Linked DNA regions of Oryctolagus cuniculus. The protein of the gene in region 4 interacts with the protein of the main gene of each other region in a pairwise test. Links are inferred from orthologs where the notes say so. Each region holds a gene or a part of one and is shown on either strand. Other genes may lie near its edges.

Region 1 (4,267 bases), on a different chromosome or scaffold from region 4:
TCCTTCTTGGGCAAGGAGGCACCAGTGGGCTGACCTGGGTGGATGCTAGGGACGGAGCCTGCCCCTTCTACACCCTGGGGAAGGAATAGTGGCAGATTTGGAATCCAGACAATCCCTGCTCAGAACAGCAAGCAGCCCCTCTCCCTACTCCGCAATTGCCATGGAAACTGGGGGGGAATCCAAGCTTGGGGGGGGGCGTTGGTCATTACAATAAAAGCAGTAAGGGGGAGTTGGGATAGCTGCCCACTCCTTCAGCAATCTGCCCGTATCCCTCTTGGAGCCGGGAGGTGGGGGGTGGTCTTCCCACGGCAAGGCGAAGAGAGCGCTGCAGTCCTGGGGGCGGAGGGAGGGCAGGGCCATCGCTTGGGCTCCAAGCAATCTCCCTCCCCTAAGATGAGCCAGGGACTGATGGGAAGAGGGGGCCCAGCCCCAAGGCTGGGAAGCCCCATCCCGCAGAACTCTGCCACTTCCTCCTTTCTAATGGGGAACCTTATTGAAAGAGGGGGGAGTTTGAGGATGACTGAGAGCCTGCCTGCCTTTGGAAACTGGGGAGTGGGGTTACAACACAGGGAAAGAGAGCTCACTCACCACCTGATTCTCCATTATCGGATTGGGATTCAAGGGCTGCTGCGGGGGGCAGGTGAGGGGTGGGTGAGGAAGCAGCAGAGGTTTTGGGGCGGTGGTAGTGAACGGGAGATGAGCTGCAGTAAGACCGGGAGGTGGGAGGGCACAGCGGAAGAAAAACCATACATCATGCAGCCCTGCATTCCAGTCCCAGCCAACCGGCACAGCAGCGCGGTCCAGGAGCAGACCCCGCCTCCCCACCCCTGGAACCTCCACCTGGGGGAAAGCACACCGGCTTGAGAAATTTCTGTTTGGCGGGGAGGGGGTGGGGGAGCATGAGGAGCAAGGGGAGTCTCATTTTCTGCCCCCCCCACTTCCCTACCCCCAGTCATCTCAACATTGGAGATATTTGGGAGAGCAGGACAGTGTACTAAATATATGTAACATAAACCTCTAGTGATTTGGTGTTCCCCTTTAAACTCAGCCTGAAACTGTATTTGGGGGGAGCAGGGGGGCTTTTTATTTTCTTTTTTCCTGTTCCTGATATTTACTCCTTCATTGTGACTCTCAGCCAGTCTATTAGAAGGAAACCGGGATACAAAGATAGCGGGAGAGGCTAAGGATCAAAGCAAAGGATAGCCGGGCATGAAGGGCTCAGGGCCAGGAGGCTGAGAAACATTGCTTTCTATGTTCTAGAACGACAGCGTCTCCTGCCTCACCCCGGCCAGGGGAAACAGTCAGTGCCAACCAAGCCCCCTCCGCCCCATGAGCCACCTCGCACAGCGGGACTCTGTCCTGTATTAAGCCATCTCCCCCACCCGCCCCAAACACCCGATGATGCATCGTTTCATTCCTGAGCCGCAGCGGTGTGGCGAGCTTGGAGCTGCGGCAGGCAGGGGAGTGTGGAGCCAGAGCAATATTTCCCTCAAGGCAGGCTCCTGTCTCCCTGCCTCTGTCCTGGCTTGGCTGAGGCTATGTGCCTGCGTGTTGGGCGGCAGGCAGTGAAAGGTAGAAGCCCTCTCTGACCGCCCCCCACCAGGAGTATCACTGGCTCCTTCTTCCTCATCAACATCCCAGTCCCATAACTGGCCCCAAAGTGAGTGGCTTCTGGGGTTCACCCATTCTGCAACCCCAGGGCCATCCAACTGCCCCCACCCCACAGATCTCCTTCTCTGCCTGCCCTTGCAAGCGCCACACTCCCTTCTACCACCGCCCACCCCTTAAAAGGTGGCGGCGACCAGCACAGGTACCAAAGGGGCATCTGGGGCCACGTCTTACCCGAAGTGTCCCAGAGGCTGAGCTCTACTCTCTGCTCCTCTGTCTCCAAACAGGCTGTGTAATTCTCAAACACGGTGGGCACGTAGGTCTGAGAAAAGAGAGGGACCAGTGACACCTGGGCACTGGGCCCCTGCCCCCCCCCCCCATAATCCTCTGATCAGTGCTGGCCACACCAGAAGCCACCCACCCACCGAAGACATCAAGGTGACAGGAGATCAGGAGCCAGAGGAGGGGATGCATGGTGCAGGGAGGCCCACGTGGGACACGTGGGAAGAAGAGGCTGGAGAGACAGAGGCACTTTGCTGTATGGCAGGAGACATGTGACGGACCCCCAGCCAGAGACAAGCCCCGAACCTAAATGGTCAGGGGCGCACACACTCATATTTGCCTGCCAGTTGCAGCCAATCCTGCCGTGGTCTGCTCTCCCCCTGCAAGCCCCTGGCCCAGGGCAGCAGCATAGAGGAGCAGCAAAACCTGAACCTTCGGGGGGGGGGGGGGGACAGCAGCGATTCAGTCCAGAAACCCCAGACTCAAATGCGTCCAATTCGCTCTCCTGAGAGCAGACTCCGGGGCGGAGGGAGGCGGGCGGGGTTTGATCGGGGCCTTGTGGGTGAGGAGGAGCCAGCGGGGCAGCAGAAGTGGGACAGGTCTCAGGGGGAAGCTAAGGCGGGCGGCCCTCCAGCTCGAGGGCGGCGGGGGATGGCCAGGTGGGGTCTGCGCTCACCTCCGGGTAGCAGTCCTTAGCCAGCACCTGCAGCATCGCCGTCTTCCCGCACTGCACGTCTCCCACTAGGACGAGCTTGCACCTGACCACGACTGGCTGGGGAGTGCGTCTCTCCTTCATGGTCGCAGCCGCCGCGGAACGGGCGCTCAGACGCGGGGAGGTGAAGGTGCCGCTAGGGGCGTCTCAGAATGCGAACTCCACCGGGATCCTCGGCCTCCCTCCGACTGAGCGAGGGGACGGCGCGCGGCCCTTTATATAGGCCTGGCGGAGCCAATCGCAAGAGTAGGCGGGCTCTGTCTCGGCCAATCACCGAGGTGGGATCCCCTCCGGCAGCCAATGGTAGGAGGATCTGAGTCAGCGCCCTCGTCCTCTCTCCCCTTTCTCTTAAAGCTGCACTGTGGCTTCCCCCTGGACAGGGGACTCCCACGCTGTTTTGCATTTGTATTAGGAAGGGGGCAGGAGACTTGCAGCGCGAGGAAGAGATCTTGAGTGTCCATCAGTGAGTGTCAAAAACCATAAACTACCGTGGAAGCAGAAAGTGGGGTGAAGTCAGAGTTGTAGGGACTGTCCCAGGAGAAGAGCAGGAAACTATGGGCAGGCAGGGGGGCGTGGTGGGCAGGGGTGGGGCGGAGGGGGCAGAGATCCCTGCTAGGACTCCTGTACCTATGTTCTAATTCCCATCCAAGCCACTTCCCACCTGTGGGGATGGGACAGAGGGAGAGAAGAAAGCAAACAAAGCCACTGACTATTTGGCCAGCTACCCTCCCACCCAAGGCCTGGCAGCAGCATTTGTTCTGCCTGGGACAGCTTCCTGGATGAATCACACAGGTGCAGGGCCAGGCTGACATCCATGGACACAGACTGCTGTGTGTCACCTGGTTAAAGTCCAGGCTGGAAAGACCAGGCCTGGGACTGGAGCTGCCTACCAGCCCACCCTTTCAGAGCCCAGGTGTCTTTGGGAGCCAGTACACTAAGCAGAACCATGGATGGATGCACACAACTACATGAACCACTGATTATCCAGCAACCTAGACAGGCCCAACAAGGCCTCCTGGGAATTGGGCAAAACAGAGCAATCCAAGGCTCTGTTCAGGTTGCTTCAACTTCCAAACCCTTGCTGCATCTGAACTCCATCATTGCTGCCCCCACCCAGGGACAACTGCCCGTGATAAAGGATGTTTAAATGTCTTCCTTCCAAGGCCCACCGCAGACGGTAGGAGGGTGGAAGTTATTGGACCTAATAGCACCCCACACACACCCACACACACACACACTGAGCTGGGGAGATTCCCCTAAGCTGCCCCCAGGGGAAGGCTGGGACCCACCTAACAAGAGTATGGAACAAAGGCAAGATTTTTGATATGCAAATATCAGACTGCTTCTACATTTCTTCCCTCATTGAATTCCCACCCTCTGGCACTTATAAGCTGATGTCTAACAAGGTTGCTTGGTGGAAGGCTCTGGGGCCAGAGGGACCTGCATGCCCTCCACCCACCTCCAGCTCCACCCACCTCCAAGGGTTAGAATCACCAGAGGGTAGAAAAAGTTAACATAGGCAGTCAAATAGTATTTATTTAAGAGGAAGAGAAGGACAGGCAGGCAAATCCTATTCACTGGTTTCCTCCCCAAATGCCCACAACAGCCAGGTCTGCACCACGCAAAAGCCAAGGGGCCTGGAATTCCGTTCAGGTTGCCCATGTG
Region 2 (4,205 bases), on a different chromosome or scaffold from region 4:
TGCTGCAGCCGAGTGCTCTGGAGTGGGAGGGGCACCCCAGCCACCAGGCCAAGGGCGCAGCTTCAGGAAACTGGCCTGGCCCGGGAGCTCCTCGCCCACTGCCGGGCGCCCGCAGGTGTGGCTGTCCCTGGCTTTGCTGAGGGACGTCCTCCTGACAGACCTCGGGAAGGAGTGGACACAGAACTGCTGGAAGCCAGGACGGCAGTGGGGGCCGCCTGCCCCGGACGGCTTCGCCCCGGGAGCAGCCGACCTTGCCGACGCCTGGACTTCGCACTCGGCCCCGAGTGGGGACAGCCTGTTTCCAAGGCTCTGGGTCCCCATCAGCCGCTGGGTGCACAGGCCACCTCTGCTCTCTGCCCACCCAGGGGACCACTCACCCGCAGGCGCCTCAGGCCGACAGAATGCCGGGCCGGCCAGGGCAGCAAGCACTGGGACAGGCCGGGCTCCTCCCCCAGCCCCAGGCACGGTCTCAGGAACACAGGCCAGATGTCAGCAGTCTCCTGCTGCCTCAGTTTACCCGTCCCTGGGCTACGTCAGCTGCTGGCTCCGTGGGTGTCCTGGAGCCAGTGCAGCACCTGCGCCAGGCCAGTGCCTTTCCGGGCGCTGATTTCCGCGGTGGAGACGTTCTGCCTGGCGTGAGCGAGGATGTCTGGAAGCCTCATCAGCGACCTGATCTCCTCCATGCTCATGTAGCAGGGCAGGTCGCTGCGGGAACACACCGCCCCGTCAGGCCGGGCAGCCCCGGGGCCCGCTCCCCGCCCGGGGCACGCCTGCCCCGCGCACCCGTGCTGCCCCGCTCCCGGGCCCGCCAGCCCCGCGCACCCCGCGCTGCCCCGCTCCCGGGTACACCTGCCCCGCGCACCCCGTGCTGCCCCGCTCCCGGGCACGCCTGCCCCTGCTCCCGGGCACGCCTGCCCCGCGCACCCGTGCTGCCCCGCTCCCGGGCACGCCTGCCCCGCGCACCCCGTGCTGCCCCCGCTCCCCGCCCCGCCCCCCCGCCCGGGGCAGCCCCGCTGCCCGCTCCCAGGCCCGCACATCTTATTGAACAGGATCAGGACGGACGCTTCCGCGAGCTGCTCTGCAGAAAGGAGGCCCAGGAGCTGCACGCAGGCCGCGGAGAGCTGGGTGGGGTTGGAGGCGTCCACCATGAACTGAGGAGGAACAGAGCCCTGGGACCTCGCCCAGCACCGCAGGCCCGGCCCAGGGCGGCAGGGCGAGACGCCATCAGCCACAGCCGCCGACCACGAAGGGAACAGGCAGGGGGAGTCGGTTCTCCGCGGAGGAGCTGGCCGGTGCCCGTCCCCTGGACCGCTACGCCAGCGGGGGAGTGGGAGGGCGCGGGACCCACCAGCAGACAACGGCAGTTTCCGTAGTAACTGGACCAGATGGGGCCCATGCACCCGCCCAGCTCCCGGATGGTGATTCTCCGCTGGACCACGATGTCCGTCAGGTTGGTGCCCACCTGCGGGAACCATGACGCAGAGGTTGTGAACTCCCGGAGGGCAGTGCGTGCCCACCTGAGGGCCGGGGCCCAGACGCTCCCCCGGGGCGACCAGGGAGGGGTCTCGGGAGGCAGTGCGTGCCCATCTGCGGGCCGGGGCCCAGACGCTCCCCCGGGGGCGACCAGGGAGGGGTCTCGGGAGGCAGTGCGTGCCCATCTGCGGGCGGGGGCCCAGACGCTCCCCCAGGGGCGACCAGGGAGGGGTCTCGGGAGGCAGTGCGTGCCCATCTGCGGGCCGGGGCCCAGACGCTCCCCCAGGGCGACCAGGGAGGGGGCCTCAGGAGAGAGCGGTGCGTGCCCACCTGCGGGCGGGGGCCCAGACGCTCCCCCAGGGGCGACCAGGGAGGGGTCTCGGGAGGCAGTGCGTGCCCATCTGCGGGCCGGGGCCCAGACGCTCCCCCGGGGGCGACCAGGGAGGGGTCTCGGAGGGCGGTGCGTGCCCATCTGCGGGCCGGGGCCCAGACGCTCCCCCAGGGGCGACCAGGGAGGGGTCTCGGAGGGCGGTGCGTGCCCACCTGCGGGCCGGGGCCCAGACGCTCCCCCGGGGGCGACCAGGGAGGGGGTCTCGGGAGGGCAGTGCGTGCCCACCTGCGGGCCGGGGCCCAGACGCTCCCCCGGGGCGACCAGGGAGGGGTCTCGGGAGGCAGTGCGTGCCCATCTGCGGGCCGGGGCCCAGACGCTCCCCCGGGGGCGACCAGGGAGGGGTCTCGGGAGGCAGTGCGTGCCCACCTGCGGGCCGGGGCCCAGACGCTCCCCCGGGGCGACCAGGGAGGGGTCTCGGGAGGGCGGTGCGTGCCCACCTGCGGGCCGGGGCCCAGACGCTCCCCCGGGGGCGACCAGGGAGGGGGTCTCGGGAGGGCAGTGCGTGCCCACCTGCGGGCCGGGGCCCAGGGAGAGGGGTCTCGGGAGGGCGGCAGGCGGCCGTGCGTCGGGCGAGTTCAGGGACACGCTGGCGGCCGCACCCGCCTCCGCACAGGTCACCCCCTCCGGTCGCGCCTGCGGGAGTCCGACACCTACCGTGGGCTGGGTCGGCGGAGGCGCCCCCACGTCGCCCTTCGCGTCCTGGGAGCTCAACTGTGCGGAGCGGTCAAGGACCAGAGCCCCACGGACGGCGTCCCCACCCCGGCCCCCCAGGGCCCCTCGCGCCGCCCGGGAAGGATATTCTGCAGCCGTTTCACCAACAGCGTCTTCCCGACGCCCGACGCCCCCAGCAGCAGACACATCCCGGACCCCGGGCCCCTAGGCACCCGCCGCTCGGCGCCCACACGCAGGGCCCACCCCCTGCCCCTCTCATTGGCTAAGCCTCTCTTCCAGAGTGCTCATTGGTTCTTTGGACTCACCACCGCGGCGGCCGCGGTCCAATAGACGCACGGCGTCAAGGGACGGGCGTTAAGTCCCGCCTCCTCGCGAGTCTCGGCCGGAGCGGCGAGCTGCGCGTGCGCGCGCTGGAGGGGAAGGCGGAAGCGGAAGTCGGGGGGCGCGCCAGCTCGGAGCGGAGGAGCGTCCGCGGCGTCGGTCCGGGTCGGGGTCGCCATGGGGCGAGGCGGCGGCACCTTCGAGCGTCTCCTAGGTAACGCACCGCGCCCGCCCCCGGGCCGCCCGGCGCTGCCGGGGGCGCTGTCAGCGCGTCCTGCGGCCCCGGCCGCCCCTGGGTCCCCGGGTGTGGCCGCCTCCAGGGCCGGCGTCCGTGAGGGCCGCGCAGGACCCCGGCGTCGCGGGGCCCGCGGGCGGGTCGCCGGGGCGGGCGGGCGGCAGTTCCCCGGGAGCAGCCGCGCTGGCCGAGGGCGCCAGGTCCTGAGTCCCGGACGCCGTGGCCGGCGCTGTCGGAGCCGCCGGGGCGCTGCTGTCACGGCGAAGGTCGGGCCCGCACGTCCTCGCCGGGGCCTGCGGAGCCGCCCTGGGCGCTGCTCCCGCGGCCGGGCCCCGGCGCGGGAAGGCGCTGGCCAGGAGTTCAGTGGACGTTCCCCGGCCGTCCCTGCGCCGGGGTCGCGTGGTCTGCCGCAAGGCCAGCCGTCGCCCCGGACGCTCCGGGTAGTGCCTCGGCCGCCCAGGGCTCTGTCCCCGTGGTCCTGAGTCGGTGCGGAGGGCGCACCTGGTAGGCCACTGCCGCCCCGGGGGCTGGGACACGGTGGCCCCGCGGGAGTCGGATCTGCCTTCGTCCCCAGAGCGCTCAGGCAGGGTGGCCGTCCACGGAGCCCGCGGCCGGGACGCGAGGGAGCCGTGTTTCAGGGTGAGCCCTGGCTCGCTCCGGGACACGCCGTGGGGCCGGGCCAGCGGCCTCCCCTTGGACCCCTGGCTCGTGAGGGCGTGGTTAGTCCACGGGCGCTGCACGGCACCGGGGGCCCCAGCGCCTCTGCGGCTGTCGGTGCGTGTCGGGGCTGGCCCTGGTCTCCCACTGCGTCCAAAGGCCTGGCTGGGGAGGCTGCCCAGGGCCCCGGGGGCCAGCGCTTACATGGCCTGTGTCCCTCAGACAAGGCGACCAGCCAGCTGCTGCTGGAGACCGACTGGGAGTCCATCCTGCAGATCTGCGACCTGATCCGCCAGGGCGACACACAGTGAGTGAGGGGCTGGGCCCCCGGCCTGGATCCCCCTGGGCCCTCGGCCCTCTCCCTAGGCCGTCTGTCCGTCTGCCCTCACCACATCTTCTCTCCTGCAGAGCGAAGTATGCGGTGAATTCCATCAAGAAGAAAGTCAATGACAAGAA
Region 3 (4,235 bases), on a different chromosome or scaffold from region 4:
AGACTCCCCTATCCAAGTGTTTACCCAAAATCTCCACTTGAACCTTAAGCAGAACACCTGCAAAGCAGGTATCTAGATTTCTCCCACCCCTAACTTTCTCCCCTTTGTGCCTTCCCCATCTCATTAAACGGCTCCAGGATTACCAGCCACCAGGCCCTAAACCTAAGAACCATCCACGATCGTTTTGCTTCCTCACACACTGTCCCCCAAGTCCAAGTCAATGCCCGTGAAAGTGTGTGCCTAAGTAAGATTTGGGTGGGCGTTTCTCATGACACTTTGGGACACCTGCATCCCATATTGGGAGGAGAGCCTGGGTTCAAGTCTCAGCGCCAGTCCCAACTCCAGCTTCCTCTAATGCACATCCTGCAGAAGCAGGCGATGGCTCAAGTGCTCGAGTCCCTGTCACTCATGTGGGTGACCTAAATTGAGCTCCAGACTCCTAACTTGGAGGCCTGGCTCAGGAGAATCTGTTGCAGGCATTTGGGGAGTAAATCAGTGGGTGGAAGATCTCTCTCTGTCTCTTTCATTCTGCCTTTCAAATAAAATAAGCAACTAGCACATTTTTAAAAACACAAAATTATTTTAAAAAATAAATAGCGCTGTTCTCACCACACCCACTAAGGCCATCCTAGGGCAAGCTACCACCAACCACCTCACTTCCTCGGTAGCCTCCTGCAGACTTTCGTGTTCTCTGTTGTGTGCTTTACACACATCAGCAAGATTAACTTTTAAAAATCCGAACCGTAGCTCACCCTCCTCCATGGCTTCCCGTTGCCCCGCAGGGTCTGGCCCCTTGCCCACTGCACTGAGCCTCGCTGCTGGCTTCTAACTGCTCCTGCCCACAGGGCAGGCACATCCTACCTCTGCAAGTGTGGCTGATTGCCTTATTTAAGCCCCAGGTGCTCCACCCCCGGCCATCCCCCAACTCAGGTTTGCAGGGTTCATTCCATCAAGTCTGTATGTGCTCAGAGGTCTCCCAAGAGAGGCAGTATCTGACCCAACATCCACCCTACCCGCTGCTCCACTTGCCCCACACCACTTAAGACTGCCTGCAGTTGCGGTCACTGCTGTGTCTTCTGTCTCCCTCTCCCAATCCACTAGACGGCAAGCTCCAAGCCAGCCTTTGCTTTATCCGCTCCGCCTAGGGCACTGCCCGGCATCTAACTGCTGCTCAGTTAGTACTTGTGGCATGGTTGCGTTCTCTCCAATTTCTGTTCCTCCTGAACCTTTACAGCCGTCCTCATTTCATATCCGGCTCCTCTGCAAATGTGAAACTCCGCGCGCTTTCCCAGCAGTCGTCCGCTCTCCCTACCCTTTCCTGAGCAGCGGCTCCTTTAAGCGGACTCCGGATTTCCCCCCTCCCACCAGGGAAGGCGGGACCAAAGCCTGGCCGACGCCGACCCGGAGAGGCGGGGCGGAACTAAGGGGGCGGGACATGCGTCCTGCGTGCGTGCGCGTTCTGGAGGCGCCGCCGCCGCCGCTCCCGAGGCCGCCGCCGCCGTCGCCGCGCAGAGCCGGAGCCACGGCCGAGAGGAGGGAGGAGGAGGAGGAGGAGGTGGAGGAGGCGCCGGACCGGGGGGGTGAGTGAGGGGCGGGGAGCCCCAGCGAGCCCTTGAGGGAGCAGGGGGCGCGGGTCGGCCGGGCCGGGGCAGGGGCGGCTCATGTCGCCGGTCAGTCCCTGGCTCCCCCTTCCTGCTCAGCGTTCGCTCCGTGTCCGGGGCGGCGGCCCGGGGGCCTGGCCGGCGGGAGGGGCCGGAGCTCGGGAGGCCCGGCCGCCGCCGCCAGGGCCAGAGCCAACCACGCCCGCGGACCGAGCCGGTCGACTGTGGCTGGGCCTGCGGGAGACGGACGGGAGGGGCCCGGGCCGGGTGTGGGAGAGAAAGAGGACATTGTGTCCCCCACCCTCCAACTCCCCGAGGTGTCATGGCACAAACCCATTTCCCTCGCGCGTCTCCCCGGACATGGTGTCCTCGCCCCTCGCTGCTGAGAGGTGCGGAAGATTGCACTTCGCTGCCTTCTTCCTTCTCTTGCATGTTCTCTGACTAGGGTTAGGGCTTCCTTGCAGACCCGGCTCCCCTCGGAGGCGCACGCGAGGAGGCACTTGGAGGCTCGGGCACATTTTCTGTCGTCCGTCCCCTGCCGGAGACTTACGGGCGTTCTGCCCCGCTCCTGTCCACTTGTCAGGGGTTCAGGGACTGCCTTTCCTTCCTCGATCTCCCCTCACCACCACCCCAAGTGGATGGGGCTGACGTTTCTACGTCCCAGGGCGCCTCCCAGCCCCTTTCCCGCCCTCTTTCACCCCTGTCTCCTGTAGCGTGCCATGTGTTCTTCTTGTCAGCCTTGGCTTCGCCTGGGTCTCGGCTTCTGGCCCCGATGTCGTTAGTGGGGAGGTCGCGGTGTGGTTGTCGCCTCCCTTCCGAGGAGGCTCTGCAGGAGTGTCGGGTTGGTAGCACTGTTACTTGCCCCCTCACTCAGGAAGTTAGGACGGTGTCTTCAGCTGAATTGTGAAACCCACTTCTGTACTGCTAGGAGAAGAGGACACAGTGTACCCCACCCCCGCCCCCCTAGAATAGGAGGATATCATCACCGGGCTAAAATCCAGGGTGCAGGAGACCTTTGACCTCTTGAAAAAAGAACTGTGCTTAGGAGTGATGTATTCCTTTTGGGGAGGGAAAATCGTTTTGGTACTGCTTTGAAAGGAGGAGGGTGTAAGAAATAAAGTGCACCAACAAGGCAGTAGGTTCATGGGCCACAGGTAGCCACTGTTTTCCGATTTGGGGGTGACAGATGGTGATTCTGTGTGGGTTTGGTTTTTTACAGTAAGAATGAAGTATCAGCGCTTGCACTTAACTTTTTTGAAGGACTCCTACCTTCAAAAACATGCCGAAGGGCAGTCTCAGAAAAGATGCTGTTGGAAACAGGATTTGGAAACTTTCTTTGGGTTTCCTGTCTGAATGTGTGGGGGTGGGCATGCCGGTGTGTAGTGTTGCTTTTCTTTTGATGTAGTTGATTTATGTGATACTTTGACACAATAAGCCCTGAATTAGGCCCCAGACTCCTCCTCTGTCTTTATTATGCTTTCCTGTAGTGCTTTTTTTCTGAAATTCTTTCTGATATTATTTTTTAATGTGGTGTTTCAGTGAATCTTCTGTTGATTCCTTGGTATTTTGAATTGCCTTCTTTAAATATGCTTAGGTGTTGAGAGTCACACATGTTCGCTATTCATTGAATGAACTGAATGATTACAAAGATGTGTCTAGCTATTATTTATCTTCTGTCATTTTTGAGGTACCTTATGTTAGGATTTTATATTTGACATGGAATAAATGAAATAATTTTTAACCTTTTCTAGGCTGCTGACACCTTCCAGAATATAATGAAATATGTGGACACTGTCCCGAGAAAAAAAGTAACAGACATTACGCATAAAACTGCGTTCAAGGCCGGCGCCGTGGCTCAATAGGCTAATCCTCCACCTTGCGGCGCCGGCACACCGGGTTCTAGTCCCGGTTGGGGCGCCGGATTCTGTCCCGGTTGCCCCTCTTCCAGGCCAGCTCTCTGCTATGGCCAGGGAGTGCAGTGGAGGATGGCCCAGGTGCTTGGGCCCTGCACCCCATGGGAGACCAGGAAAAGCACCTGGCTCCTGGCTCCTGCCAGGATCAGCGCGGTGCGCCGGCTGCAGCGGCGGCCATTGGAGGGTGAACCAACGGCAAAAGGAAGACCTTTCTCTCTCTGTCTCTCTCTCTCACTGTCCACTCTGCCTGTCAAAAAAAAAAAAAAAAAAAAAAAAAAAAAAAAAAAAAAAAAAAAAAAAAAAAAAACTGCGTTCAGTCTCAGGGGCCCTCTGAAACCAACCATTGACACCTATCTTGGAATCCTTGAGTAGTATTCAATTTCGTATCAAAAATGTTCAGAAGCCTTGTTGCCTCTTTGTGTGGCCTCAGGAATGATGGTGTGTACACTTGCATTCCAGACGTTGGGTCTCTGGCAACAAGATATAAGACTGATTACTGTTAAAATTTTATGGGGAAAAGTTAGTCCACATTTGTAACTATTACTGGTTAGTTTTAAATTAATATGCTGACTGCTTCTAAAGTATAGAATTATTCTAGACACTTTTTAAAAAAGATTTATTTTATTTTATTGGAAAGACAGAGTTACAGAGAGAGGTAGAGAGAGAGAAAAAGGTCTTCCATCTGCTGGTTCACTCCCCAGATGGCCGCAAAGGCTGGAGC
Region 4 (4,081 bases):
TTATGGGGCCTTTACAATGACTTTAAACACATGTACTCTGTTCATGAAATGCCAATCCTTCTGCGGACTATACTAAGTCATACTATAAAACTATAGTAATTAAACTAAATGTGCACAGATGGATCAATGAAATAGAAATATTCTAAAAAGAAAATCCATTTCTTATAGAAACTTTCTATAAGACAAAGATGGCATTTCAAAACAGTGAGGAAAGGACAGAGCAGCTATTTAGTGAATAGTCCTGGGACGACTATGGAAGCAATGATTAGATCTCCACCACACACATGTAAACACCCTGCAGTTAGGCTGAGGAGCTAAATATTGAAAAGAGAAGAAAACAGGCTATTTGATTAATCTTGGGATAAAGAAGTTCTCTTTAAACGATATGCCACATGCAGAAGAAGGAAATACTAATAAATCTGGAATGATAATTTAAAAATCCTGTTCAACAAAAGAAGGGGACAAGCAATACATTGAGAAAAAAATACTTGCAACATACTTCATAGGCAAAGGATCAATACTAAAATGCAAGAGAAATGATCTGGAATTTCTCTCGCAACAATAGCTAGCACACGATGCTTACACCAGGTGCTTTTCTGAATACTTTGGAGATCAATTCATTTCATCTCACAACCAGGTATTATTATTCTTATTTTTACATGAGAAAACTGAGGTAGAGGTTACAGAAGTTGTGCAGGGATATGGGGTCAGGAATGTAAAGCTAGAATTCCAAGGCAGCAAATCCTATGGTTCTTGCTTTCCTTTTCTCTCTTAATCCTCAGATGCCAGTAAAGGACACGGAGGACCAGCACTCTCACTTCACTGCTTCCCAACTTTATGCGGCTGCTCTCCTGTCTCAGGGCTTACTTAGCTCCACTCAAACTTTCCCTGAAAGCCTGTTTGTCGACGCAGCAACATCACGGCTGAACTGGTTAATTCCCCATTCCTGCCAGTGGGCTGACACCTCCTGCTCTCTACTCTTTCATATTTGTCCTCCGCTTCTTTCTCAACAAGTTCAAGAGCCAAGACTGAACGAATGGTGAGAAGCTCAAGCATTCCTTTTCTGCCTTGCTCAAAAGCCACCTTCCGGGTTTTCAGAAATACATTAATTGCAATCCAAAATCTCAAATTCTCTGGTTTACTGTCTGCAACACATATGTTAAGTATAAAGTATGCAAGAGAAAAAATAAAATCCATGTCATAGCTCTCCGAACACTTGAGCTATGCCTATCCCTGTCGAGGCTCCATTATGAAGAGAAACCCAGAAGGGAACATGGAGCTTTGAGAGGTTGTTCCTAAACTCCACCACATGAAAGTACTGAAAGCTGAGCACGGATGAAGTCTGCAAGGCTAACACAGCCTTGGGTTTTTAAACAAGCCTAACAGGATTCCACTGGAGATTTTCATCTGTACATCCCAAACCTCCTGACCCTCTTCTCGCACTGTGTTCTACTACCAACTTGGTTTCTGGCTATGACAAAATAATTCAAATGTGTAGGGGTGAAATGGGCACTGTGACAACCCGACAGGTGGGGGTCAGAGAACAGTGCTTTGCTAAGCACCCAGGGGAGGGGCCCCAAAGCGATGCCGGTATTTTCACCCAAAGCGATATTTAAGAATGTTCCTCACTGAACGGATAGGGTGCTAAGAAGAGATTAAGGTCAGTAGGAGAATGTAAAATTGGAATATGCAAGATCACATTGGCCAGACTAACCCTCCACGAAAACACAAAGCTCTCTAACTACCGGCTCCACCCAGGCCCGAGGCAGGGACTTCACACCTGACCGGGTCCCCAGCGCAAGCCAACCCTTGCTGGACAGCTCCGCCACGACCCGGCGGCAGGCACCCCTAAGGCACCCCGGCCAAGGCACCTGGAGGCATCCCACCACCCGCGAGCTCCGCGTCCTCGCCGGGCTGCAGGGAAGACCCGAGGGGCCGAGAGGCGAGCGGCGCCCGCCCCCCCACCGCCCTCTGCTACTCCAGCCCTGGAAGCCACAAGTGAGCAGAAGAAGTTGTGGCAACCAGACGGGGTGAGGCGGGGTGAGGCGTGGAGGGGGGGGGGCGAGAGTATTTAATGCCAGGCATCGGCGCTGGTCCCACGCAAGGTCGTTCACTCCCAGTCACTTCTCTGCTCCCCCGGGCGGGCTTCCCGCCAAAGACGCCGCCGGGCTTCGAGGCCAGCCCGCCGCGCCCCCTCAGCCCTCCCCGGCGGGCCGCGGCCCCTCCCGGCCGCAGCTCCGAGCCCAGCCCGCTTCCCGACACCCCTCGCCGGCGCCCGGCGCCCCTCGCAGCCCAGGCCCCGGGGCTCCTTCGCCCCCGTGCCCGCGGCTCCCGCCAACGTCCCCCTCCGCCCTCAGGACGCCCCCGTGCCCGCCTCCCGCGCCCCGTGGCGCCGGGGCCTGGGACCTCGGCCCCTTCCTGTCCCCCCTCGCTGCCCCTCTCCTCGGGGGCCCACCTGGCGCCCCAGTCCCCGGCCGGTCTCCTCAGGGAGCGACCGCCTCCCAAGTCCTCCCGGCCCCTCCCCGCTCCCGGGCGGATACAGTTTGAAGCCTCTCAGGATCTCCCTGGCCCGCTCGTCCTTGGCTGACATGTTGCGGCGGCCGCCGCCCGCGGCTCTCTCACGCTGCCCTGCGGAGCCTCGCGGACCGTGCCCAGGAAGCGAGCACAGAGCCGCAGCCCGGCCTGGAGACCTCGGGCAAGCAGAGGCAGCGGCCAGACCCGGACCGGCCTCTCCCTCCCCTCAGCTCCCGCTCCTGATCCTTCTCCTTCCCTCTGGTCTCGGAGCGCCCGCCCCTAAGCCAATGGAAAGCCCGCCTCGGCGATTGGCATTCTCACCAGCCAATAGCAACGCTCAGCGGCTTCGCAGGGGGACGAAGAGCATCCATGGGAAGCGCCCTCCCCGAGAAGTCCCATAGGACAAAATTTTCACTGGGTGTTGTTGCCTAGAGTTAGCCCCAGTGGGGGCTTGGCTTGACATCTGCAGAGGCTCTAGGGGCCTGCTCCTGCTGCTGGGCTCACTAGTCTCCTGAGACGACCGCAGGTTGCATTGTGCGAAGGGGCAGAGGACTACATTTCCCAGAATTCCAGTAGAGCGCCAGGGGACCACAGATCCCAGCACGCAGCAGAGAGGCCCAGGGACTACAAATCCCAGCATTCGTCGCGTCCCGAGGCTCTGTAACTTAGGCTCCAGTGTGCCGCGCAGTGTGCGCAAATTCGTAAACCTGCCGGCAAGGTCGGTGGTTTCTGCATCCCGAGACTGAAAACCAGGCGGGAAGACCCTGTGGCCCGGTGAAAGACGATGACAGCCCACAGAGAATTAACTTCTGTTTACATGGAACTCAGAAATCGCCTGCAAATCATGGTAAGGTTGCAAACAACAAAAACACTGATTAAACCACGAAAGAATGTAACAAAACGACTTCTTCAAACCGTGCTTGTTTGTTGGACGGGGGCGCCGTTTGCGTGTTTTGCGGGGACCTCTGGTGTGTTCCTGCCTCGGACCAGGAGAGCTATCGATTGTGTGCTCTGTCAATACGGGAAGGTGCTTGAAAGAATTTGCTAATCCTGCCCCTGCTGTTTTTACGTGCGAGGGAATTGAGGCCCAGAGAGGCGAGAGACCGGCCTCAGGTCACTGCAAGTTGGGGCAGAGTTAGGATTCGGCCCCGAGTCTGTCGCCCGCAGCCTGGGAGGTGATATTTTTAGCAGTATGGCAGTGCGATTACTGCCCGCCTTGTTGAGTAGTTTGCCCATCCAAGGTTGGAACACCCAGAGGTTGGGTAAAGCATTTATTCGGTGGATTTCTGGCAGATGAGGAAGTGTGTGATATTTGTTTTGGTAGGACTTGGTCTTTTGATTTGTTCTTTCTTTGTCACTCAAGGTGACATTTGATGTGATTTCAGGAAGTGGGTAAAATCGCAGGGTGAGCCCGGGCTTGCTGGGAGATGCTCTGTGTGTTTTCCTAGGACTTTCTTCCTCTCGTCCCCCTCTGCACCCAGCTTTTCACCAGCTTGTCACCCTCTGCACTCAGCTTTTCCTTCTGGGTAATTCAACAAACGTGCTTTCTGCTTCTGTGATTTGTCGG

Evidence for each region. The genes of interacting proteins can lie anywhere in the genome.
Region 1: the proteins of PDE6D (region 4) and RND1 interact in a two-hybrid assay, tested with the Homo sapiens proteins (2 studies listed by BioGRID). The link is inferred for Oryctolagus cuniculus from reciprocal best matches to the Homo sapiens genes PDE6D and RND1.
Region 2: the proteins of PDE6D (region 4) and ARL16 interact in binary tests that used the Homo sapiens proteins (3 or more experiments, as listed by UniProt). The two-hybrid records come from large-scale screens. The link is inferred for Oryctolagus cuniculus from reciprocal best matches to the Homo sapiens genes PDE6D and ARL16.
Region 3: the proteins of PDE6D (region 4) and RAP1A interact in a two-hybrid assay, tested with the Homo sapiens proteins (2 studies listed by BioGRID). The link is inferred for Oryctolagus cuniculus from reciprocal best matches to the Homo sapiens genes PDE6D and RAP1A.

Annotation. Positions count from the first base shown.
Region 1 is NC_091442.1:52,342,806-52,347,072, forward strand, and holds the start of RND1 (rho-related GTP-binding protein Rho6), read right to left. Parts: upstream 2,807-4,267; 5' UTR 2,687-2,806; coding exon 2,567-2,686; intron 1,931-2,566; coding exon 1,843-1,930; intron 1-1,842. UniProt on the Homo sapiens protein: Lacks intrinsic GTPase activity. Has a low affinity for GDP, and constitutively binds GTP. Controls rearrangements of the actin cytoskeleton. Induces the Rac-dependent neuritic process formation in part by disruption of the cortical actin filaments.
Region 2 is NC_091448.1:1,091,370-1,095,574, reverse strand, and holds the start of ARL16 (ADP-ribosylation factor-like protein 16), read right to left. Parts: upstream 2,807-4,205; 5' UTR 2,725-2,806; coding exon 2,664-2,724; intron 2,578-2,663; coding exon 2,519-2,577; intron 1,463-2,518; coding exon 1,349-1,462; intron 1,152-1,348; coding exon 1,036-1,151; intron 706-1,035; coding exon 534-705; 3' UTR 1-533. Other genes in the region: HGS (hepatocyte growth factor-regulated tyrosine kinase substrate), read left to right, coding at 3,035-3,071, 3,972-4,056, 4,158-4,205. UniProt on the Homo sapiens protein: May suppress the RNA sensing activity of RIGI in a GTP-dependent.
Region 3 is NC_091438.1:58,749,219-58,753,453, reverse strand, and holds the start of RAP1A (ras-related protein Rap-1A), read left to right. Parts: upstream 1-1,429; 5' UTR 1,430-1,580; intron 1,581-4,235. UniProt on the Homo sapiens protein: Counteracts the mitogenic function of Ras, at least partly because it can interact with Ras GAPs and RAF in a competitive manner. Together with ITGB1BP1, regulates KRIT1 localization to microtubules and membranes.
Region 4 is NC_091434.1:7,549,654-7,553,734, reverse strand, and holds the start of PDE6D (retinal rod rhodopsin-sensitive cGMP 3',5'-cyclic phosphodiesterase subunit delta), read right to left. Parts: upstream 2,801-4,081; 5' UTR 2,591-2,800; coding exon 2,541-2,590; exon of another isoform or gene 2,456-2,540; intron 1-2,455. UniProt on the Homo sapiens protein: Promotes the release of prenylated target proteins from cellular membranes. Modulates the activity of prenylated or palmitoylated Ras family members by regulating their subcellular location.